Linked DNA regions of Rattus norvegicus. The protein of the gene in region 1 interacts with the protein of each later gene in a biochemical or structural test. Links are inferred from orthologs where the notes say so. Each region holds a gene or a part of one and is shown in the gene's direction. Other genes may lie near its edges.

Region 1 (3,500 bases):
ACGAGTGTGTGAGTGTGTGTGAGTGTGTGTGTGTGAGAGTACGAGTGTGTGAGTGTGTGTGTGTGAGTGTGAGAGTACGAGTGTGTGTGTGTGAGAGTACGAGTGTGTGAGTGTGAGTGTGTGTGTGTTTGTGTGAGAGTACGAGTGTGTGAGTGTGTGTGTGTGTGTGAGAGTACGAGTGTGTGAGTGTGTTAGTGTGTGAGTACGAGTGTGTGAGTGTGTGTGTGTCTGAGGAGGAGACCCAGGCCCTCCCTGAGCACACCCAGCTATATGCCACACAGTGTCTTGTAGCATAAAGGCAGCAGCTCCTCATGTCTGTGAGTTTTGGCATTTTTTTGTTTTTTAGTCTAAGGCCACATGCCTTTTTTATTTTTTTTTTAAATATGACCCTGGTTGACTTAAAATTTGCTATGTAGCTCTGTCTTTCCTCAGATAGTTATCTACCCGCCTCTCCCTCCCAATTATTGAGATTAAGAACGTTCATCACTGCACACAGCCCAGGATGAGTGAACTTCAGAGTCTAGCAGCTTGGTTAGTTGCTGGAGGGCTGGGGACATCTGTCCACCCTCCCCCCACCTCCTCTCTCTCTCCTTTTTCCAGTCCCCAGCAGTGGCACCAATGGGGTCAGTATGCCAGCGGACTGCACGGGGCCAGCCACTTCTGCATCACCAGAAAACCTCACACAGAGGAGTCCCTCTGAGTCTGCCGAGGGGACACACACATTTGAGGTTGGTTGGTCTTGGGGGCGGCCAGGGTGGGCTGCAATGCAAGGCCCTGATGTCTGTGCGAATTCTTGGTGTCCAAAGACCTATAGCGGTTTCCAGCACTCTTAGCTTGGGCAACTTCTCATGGGTTTGCTCATGCTCTTGTACAAGGTTGCACAAGGCCACTCCCCTTTCCACACTTTAACAACACCCAGGCAGGGCATTTGCAGAGACAGATTTATTGGCTTGGTTTTATAAGTTGGAAGGCATGTGAAGGCATGGCTCTGGCTCTGCTGCCCCCAGCTGATTACAGCCCACTTCACTGGGAGTGCTCATGAGATGGGCAGTCATGGGATTAATAGGGGAGAGCCAAGGGCAGTGCCCTGTGACCTACCCACTTCCGTGGGATCCTATTAAAGGTTCTCCCACACCACACCAGAGACTGAGAGCCTAGCCAGTGGACACTTGGCATTGGTTGATAGGCTGTCAGTCACTGTCACGAATTGTCCCACTTTTGTTACAGTCACAGATGAATCCCCAGAATGACTGGTGCTGGGGCTGTCAGTCCTGAAAAACTTACCTAAGAGAGAAGAGGCACCTGTGCAGACCCAGGATTGAGGCTAGGGCAATATGCCAGCAGCAGCTGGATGAGGGGTTTGATGGGGACCCCAGTTCCCAGGCTGGCCACTGTGTGGAGTCACAGGCATAATGAATGGTGTGTCTATTCTCCCCTACAAAATGCCCATCCCACCTCAGCATCCAAAGTGGGGGTTAGAAATAGCTCCCAGCCTGCTTCTTGAGAGTATGTCTGAGACTGAGGAGGAAATCAAGTACAAGGCGCCAGCCAGGCTATGCTGGCGTCTCGCTCCACCATGCAGGGGTCTACTTGAGTCCCACCCTTCTGACCTTGAGCTTGGGACACTCTGCTCCACCTCCTCACCGGCAGGCTGGGTTCTTAGTCTGCAGATTCGATCAGACTCTCAATTCTGTCTCTGTGGCACCCCAACTTTGAGCCCAAGGTTGCACATTCCAGATGCAAGCCTCATTCCCAGGCCGTTGGGGATAGACAGGGTCACCATACTCATATTTCTGGTCCTGTAGCAAGAACAGGCAAGACCCTTACCTTTTCAGCCATTCCTGATTCATGATGCTGACCTTATATAGCTTATGTAATAGTGAGCTTTGTGAAGATGGAGTGGGATTATGGCTAGGAGACAGCCACCTGGTGACATACTTGGCAGAAAGGGACTTCTGGAGATTCCCTGTGCTGGTAGAAATCTTTGCAGAGCCATGCCAGGCCCAGGGGCTGGTTCTCAGTGGGGGACAGTGCCCAGAGGACTGTGCACACAAGTCACCCTCCCTGTGTAGTAGCTACAGGGCCATGAGAGAGTCAGAATGCGGCCAGATTTGTAGGGTGTCAAGCAGCTAAAAACATTTAAAGTCTTAACAGCCTGGGAGAGAGCTCAGAACTGTCCCACCAAATTTTCCTACACTGCAAGTTGCTATCACAGACATGTTGGAGCTCCTATACTCCACCTTCCACTGTACAGCTAGGGTATTGGACTCAAAATTCTCCTTATTCAGGCTACATGGGTGATCAAGTTCCTGTACTCAGAACAGTCACACTTGTAAGAATTTAGAAGGGCCAGTGAGGGCTCAGTGAGTTAACAATGCTTCCTTCTGGGCTGGAGAGATGGCTCAGTGGTTAAGAGCACCGACTGCTCTTCCAGAGGTCCTGAGTTCAAATCCCAGCAACCACATGGTGGCTCACAACCATCTGTAATGGGATCTGATGTCCTCTTCTGGTGTGTCTTAAGACACATATAATAAATAAATCTTTTTTAAAAAAAAAATGCTTCCTTCTGAGTCAGAGGACTTAGGTTGGATCCCAGGGATTCACATGGTGACTCCTTCAGACCAGTTCAGGAGATTGTTCTGTTTTCTGTACATGCACACATATATGTGTGTACACATAGATAAATGAAATTTGGAGGAAACAAATGTAAGCATGTATAAAACACATACAAGAAGCTGTGAGGTGGCCATTCTTACTTGAATGGCCTATGATGTGAGGTTCCTTGAGGTCATCTCTGCAGTGAGATCCCAAATCGGTGACCCACATCACACCATTCCTTCTAGTGACTATCTGATCTGCTGCTTGGTAGCTGCTGTGTCTGCCATTTACTGTTTATAATTACATTCTGAGTATTTATCCCCTTGCTTGATGGACCCTTGGTCTTGGTTCTGGGTCTGTTGGTACCAAGGTGTGCTGATGTGCCCTGCTCCCGCTGACAGCCAGAGTCATGCCTGAGCTGAAGGTCCCAAGAACAGGCTCTTAGAGGTGTCTTTTGACTGTCTTTTGAGTGTCTGTGATATTTGCAGTCTGCCTCATCTCCACCTAATGCTTCTCCAGACCAAAAGCCAGTCTGCCTTTAAGAGGGATGCCCTAGAGTCTTGAAATCTCCACAAGGCCATCCACCTTGCCATCCAGCTGGAAGCATCCCTTTCCTCAGCTCCACTGAGGCAGAGGACTGCTGGTGTTGTTCAGCTGCTAGGCTTCAGGCCTAGCACCATCCCAAACCCTCAGATCCCTGGGCCCACAGCACAGGTCTGAGGTTCAGGCCTTTCTCTAATGGTGCCTACCCCAGGAGAGTCATAGCTTCCAGTAAAGCAGGAGCTTGGCTCCTTCTAGGCTCCTGAGCACTCCATTGTCCTGTTGGTAAATATAGGTTTTCCTTCTAGGAGAAGGTACCTCAGAAAACCCCAAGTGGAGGCTCAGAGGAGACGCACTGTGAA
Region 2 (3,955 bases), on another chromosome or scaffold:
TCTGCGTACTTTAAGCGTTTAATTTACTGACGGAGTGTCTTCTATTGCAGAATTGATGAGTGATCCCAAAGAACTCATTGAGGTACGTTCTTTGTTCCGTGTGTCTAAGTTAATAGTGGTGGGACACTAATTGGGGTGTGTGTAGTCTGTATTGGTTGAGTTTGACTGATTTTTAGAGTACTAACCAGACATTCCAACGTGGATACCCCGGGAGGTCACTCTCCCCGGGCTCTGTCCTAGTGGCGTACGGGAGCATAGGGTACTGCCCGATGATGTACAGTCCCTTTCCACAACGTTGGAGATGGAGCTGGGCTTCGAGTCTGCGCCTGCATATTCCTACGACTTCTCAGAGTCCTGTGGACCGTGACTGAGGAGACAAACCATGCAGGAAACAAAAATTTAAAGGTGATAAGACTTTTGCTGTGCCGCCTTCGGGAATGTAATGTTTGTGGTATTTTTTTTCCCCCTCTTTCAGGAAAGAAGAGGATCTATCTGTACAGGTGCCTGTTGATTTACTTGATAAAAGACTTTGAGGCCTTTTAATTATATGCAGCTTGGTGAAATCTTGTCCATATTATGGCCTCATCCATTGGAAGCTGGACAAGCTTTTGTGCCTACTCAATTTTGTCTGGCAATTACATTTTCCATACAGGTTGTGTCTAGATTTGTGAAAATGAAGCATGGTTCTCCTTTTTGAGGTCCAGGAGGTTTCCCCAGGACCATGTTATATAAACTTTATATTTTTTGTTCCCATGTTCTCTGTAAGATTGTAGCCATGAGTTCAGATCCAGAATGGGTTATTCGATCCAGTTGTAATCTATGAGTCTTTGTGATATGCCTGACAAGTTTGAATTAAAGCTTTTTGAATGCCTTTTCTTGTGATTTAATGTGTGCATGCAGACGGCTACAGATGGGTTCAAGATAAACCGAGTGAATGTTTGATCCATCCAAGTACTGAAATTACATTCCTTCTGCTCTGGTGATAGTGTTGGGTGGGAAACTAGTCAAGTGAATTTGGGAGGTTAGTCCTAAGCAGTTCAACTTGGACAGTCCTAAAACTGGGTAGCCTTGTGATAGAAGGTGGACAGATCCTGAGGTCATAATGGGAAGTTGATGACTCCTTGCTGCCTGCCTCCACGGAGCAGTCAGGGCCCTCAATGATGGGGGCATTGAGGGGGCACCTCGAAGGTAGGCCTGAAGATGCTGGTATGTTTCCCTGTTCTTGGAAATAAATTGGGCCTGCAGTGGGGCAATACTTGCATCTGTGGCCCCCTCTGACAGAAAGGGTAGATGGAGCAGCATTCTCAATAGACACTAGCTAATGTTTATACTCCAGAGTGGAATCCGGTGACCTTGGGAGGTTCTGTGTGTAAGTCTGCCTTCAGCTATTTCACCTGCCCTTAAGTTTCTTGAGGACCCTGGGTAGGAATATGTACCTAGGCTTCAAGGTGCAAGAGGAATTTTTCTTGAGGTCAGAGACTAAATCTTGCATTCTGTGAGATGAGCTGCCTGGATTTAAAGTACAATTTCTGTTCCTATGCAAGCACCCTTGCTTCAGAATTGCCAACCTCCCAGTTTCAGAGGTTGTCCTCAATCACAGTTGTCTTGGTAACCTTCAAATGCCCAGCTACGTAGACATGCTTACAATTTAATGCTTAATAAGTATACAGGACTGGGGAGTGTAGCTTAATGCTTGCCTTACTGTGCATGATACCCTAAATTAACAGGAAAGGTTAGTCCCAGGCAGAGGCCATCTAGGGCTACACAGTGAGTCTTGTCTCCTAAAAATGTTGGGGAATCTTACCAGTGGTGGCTGCTCTTCCGGGGGTCTTAGGTTCAGTTCTTGCCAACCACTTGGTGCCTCAGAACTATGATGGGATCTGATGGCCTCTTGTGGCATGTCCATACATGCACACAGAACAGCTAAGATCCCAGCCAGTGTATAATAGATGGTTCCCTGTGAGTCCTGACCTGGAAATCTGTAGATCAGGTTGACTTCAGGCTCCACCTGTCTGTGCTGTAATTACAGGTGTGCCACAAACAGGGTCTTATAAAGAGATTAATGATGGGGTTAGCGGGAAGCGCAAGGCCCTGGGTTCGGTCCCCAGCTCCGAAAAAAACAAAAAAAAAAATGGGGTTAGCGATGGTTCAGTGGTTAGTGCACCTGATACATAGCAGCACCCACCTAATACCCTGGGCTCCATGAACACAGGCATGTAAATGCAGAGAGAGCATGTATGCACTTAGACACAAGTATTTAATAGCTTAATCCTGAATAGAAAATCCCGATCCCCCATCTATGATTATTGATAACTTGCTGGACTCTCCCTTTTGTCTTTCAACACAATGTTTCTGTAGCCTTAGCTATTCTGGAATTCCTTCTGTAGAGTGGGCCGGCCTCCAGCTCATAGATTTTCCCTCCTCTCCCTCCCTAAGTCTGGGATTAAAGTCTTAACCCGCCTCCTTAATTTTTTTCAAGATTTATTTATTTATTTTTTTTTTTTGGTTCTTTTTTTCGGAGCTGGGGACCGAACCCAGGGCCTTGCGCTTCCTAGGTAAGCGCTCTACCACTGAGCTAAATCCCCAGCCCAAGATTTATTTTTTTTAAAAGTTTTCAAGTATATAATTTGTGCATCAGTGTTTTGCGTGCACATGTAACTATGAAAGTGTCCGCTTCCCTATCTAGAGCCCTATACTTCTGAGCTGCCATGTGGGTGGTGCTGGAAATTGAACCTGGGTCCTCTGGGAGAGAGCAATCAATGCTCTTAATGGCCAAAGCATGTCTCTAGCCCCTTACTAATGTGTCAATGTTGCCTGCCTGTGTTTTTGTGTACCGTGTGTATGGGAACCCCGAGAAATGGACTTAGATGGTTATGAGCCACCATGTGGATGCTGGCACTCCAACCAAGTTTCTCTGGAAGAGCAACAATATTATTTTTATCTATTGCTGGGGTGAGGTATTTGGGTGGGGGGGGGGCGGGGTTTCTCTATGTAACCTTAGCTGTCCTGGAACTCTGCTGAGTGCTCAGACTAAAGGCACGTGCCACTCCTTCAGAACAACAATTTTAACCTTGTTTTCTACCTCAGGTTTTGTGGGGGGAAAAAAAAAAAATATATATATATATATATATATATATATATATATATATATAGCACATGGGGAGATTTTATCTAAATGGCCTGAGAAATGGCTCGATGGGTGAGGGTTATACCACTCTTCAGAGAACGGGAGTTTGAGTCTCAGCATCCACATTTAGCAGCTCCAGAGGCTCCAGCACCTTCTGCAGTCTGCATGTTTGTGCATTCCCAATGCACAAACCCACACATGAAGTTAAAAATAGATGGCTTTGAAGCTGGAGAGATGGCCCATTAAGAGCACTGGCTGCTTTTCCAGAAGCCCGGACTGAGTAGAGTTCCCCAAGTGGTTGTGACTCACAGGTTGAGAACCAGTGATTTAAGCACAGGGACTGTTAGCAATGTGCTCAGGGAAAGGGTACATACATGGGCTTCTCCAAGCAATGTGTAACTGTCTATACACACACACACACACACACACACACACACACACACACACACACACACACACACGTGGGCTTCTCCAAGCAGTGTGTAACTGTCTTTACACACACACACACACACACACACACACACACACACACACACACACGGGCTTCTCCAAGCAGTGTGTAACTGTCTTTACACACACAGAGCAAGTCTTCAGAAAGTGACTGAGAAATGGAATGACCTTGGGGTGTCCTGGGTAAGATTCTGACAGATTGTACCCTAGAGGTGTGGAGACTTCAGTTTATTGTAAACAGAACTGTCTTTTTGTGAGAAACCCAGAAAATGCACCTCTGGGAAGGCAGTGGGGCCATAACCAAGTTCATGTATGTGCAGGCTTTAAGCATGATTTACTGCTTATGCGTACACTGTAGCTGTCCTCAGACACACCAGA

Evidence for each region.
Region 2: the proteins of Ranbp3 (region 1) and Rcc1 form a complex in vitro, tested with the Homo sapiens proteins (2 studies listed by BioGRID). The link is inferred for Rattus norvegicus from reciprocal best matches to the Homo sapiens genes RANBP3 and RCC1.

The regions. Positions count from the first base shown.
Region 1 is NC_086027.1:1,621,974-1,625,473, forward strand, and holds part of Ranbp3 (ran-binding protein 3), read left to right. Parts: intron 1-600; coding exon 601-728; intron 729-3,446; coding exon 3,447-3,500. UniProt on the Homo sapiens protein: Acts as a cofactor for XPO1/CRM1-mediated nuclear export, perhaps as export complex scaffolding protein. Bound to XPO1/CRM1, stabilizes the XPO1/CRM1-cargo interaction. In the absence of Ran-bound GTP prevents binding of XPO1/CRM1 to the nuclear pore complex.
Region 2 is NC_086023.1:149,825,632-149,829,586, reverse strand, and holds the start of Rcc1 (regulator of chromosome condensation), read left to right. Parts: upstream 1-1,155; 5' UTR 1,156-1,188; exon of another isoform or gene 1,189-1,369; intron 1,370-3,955. UniProt on the Homo sapiens protein: Guanine-nucleotide releasing factor that promotes the exchange of Ran-bound GDP by GTP, and thereby plays an important role in RAN-mediated functions in nuclear import and mitosis.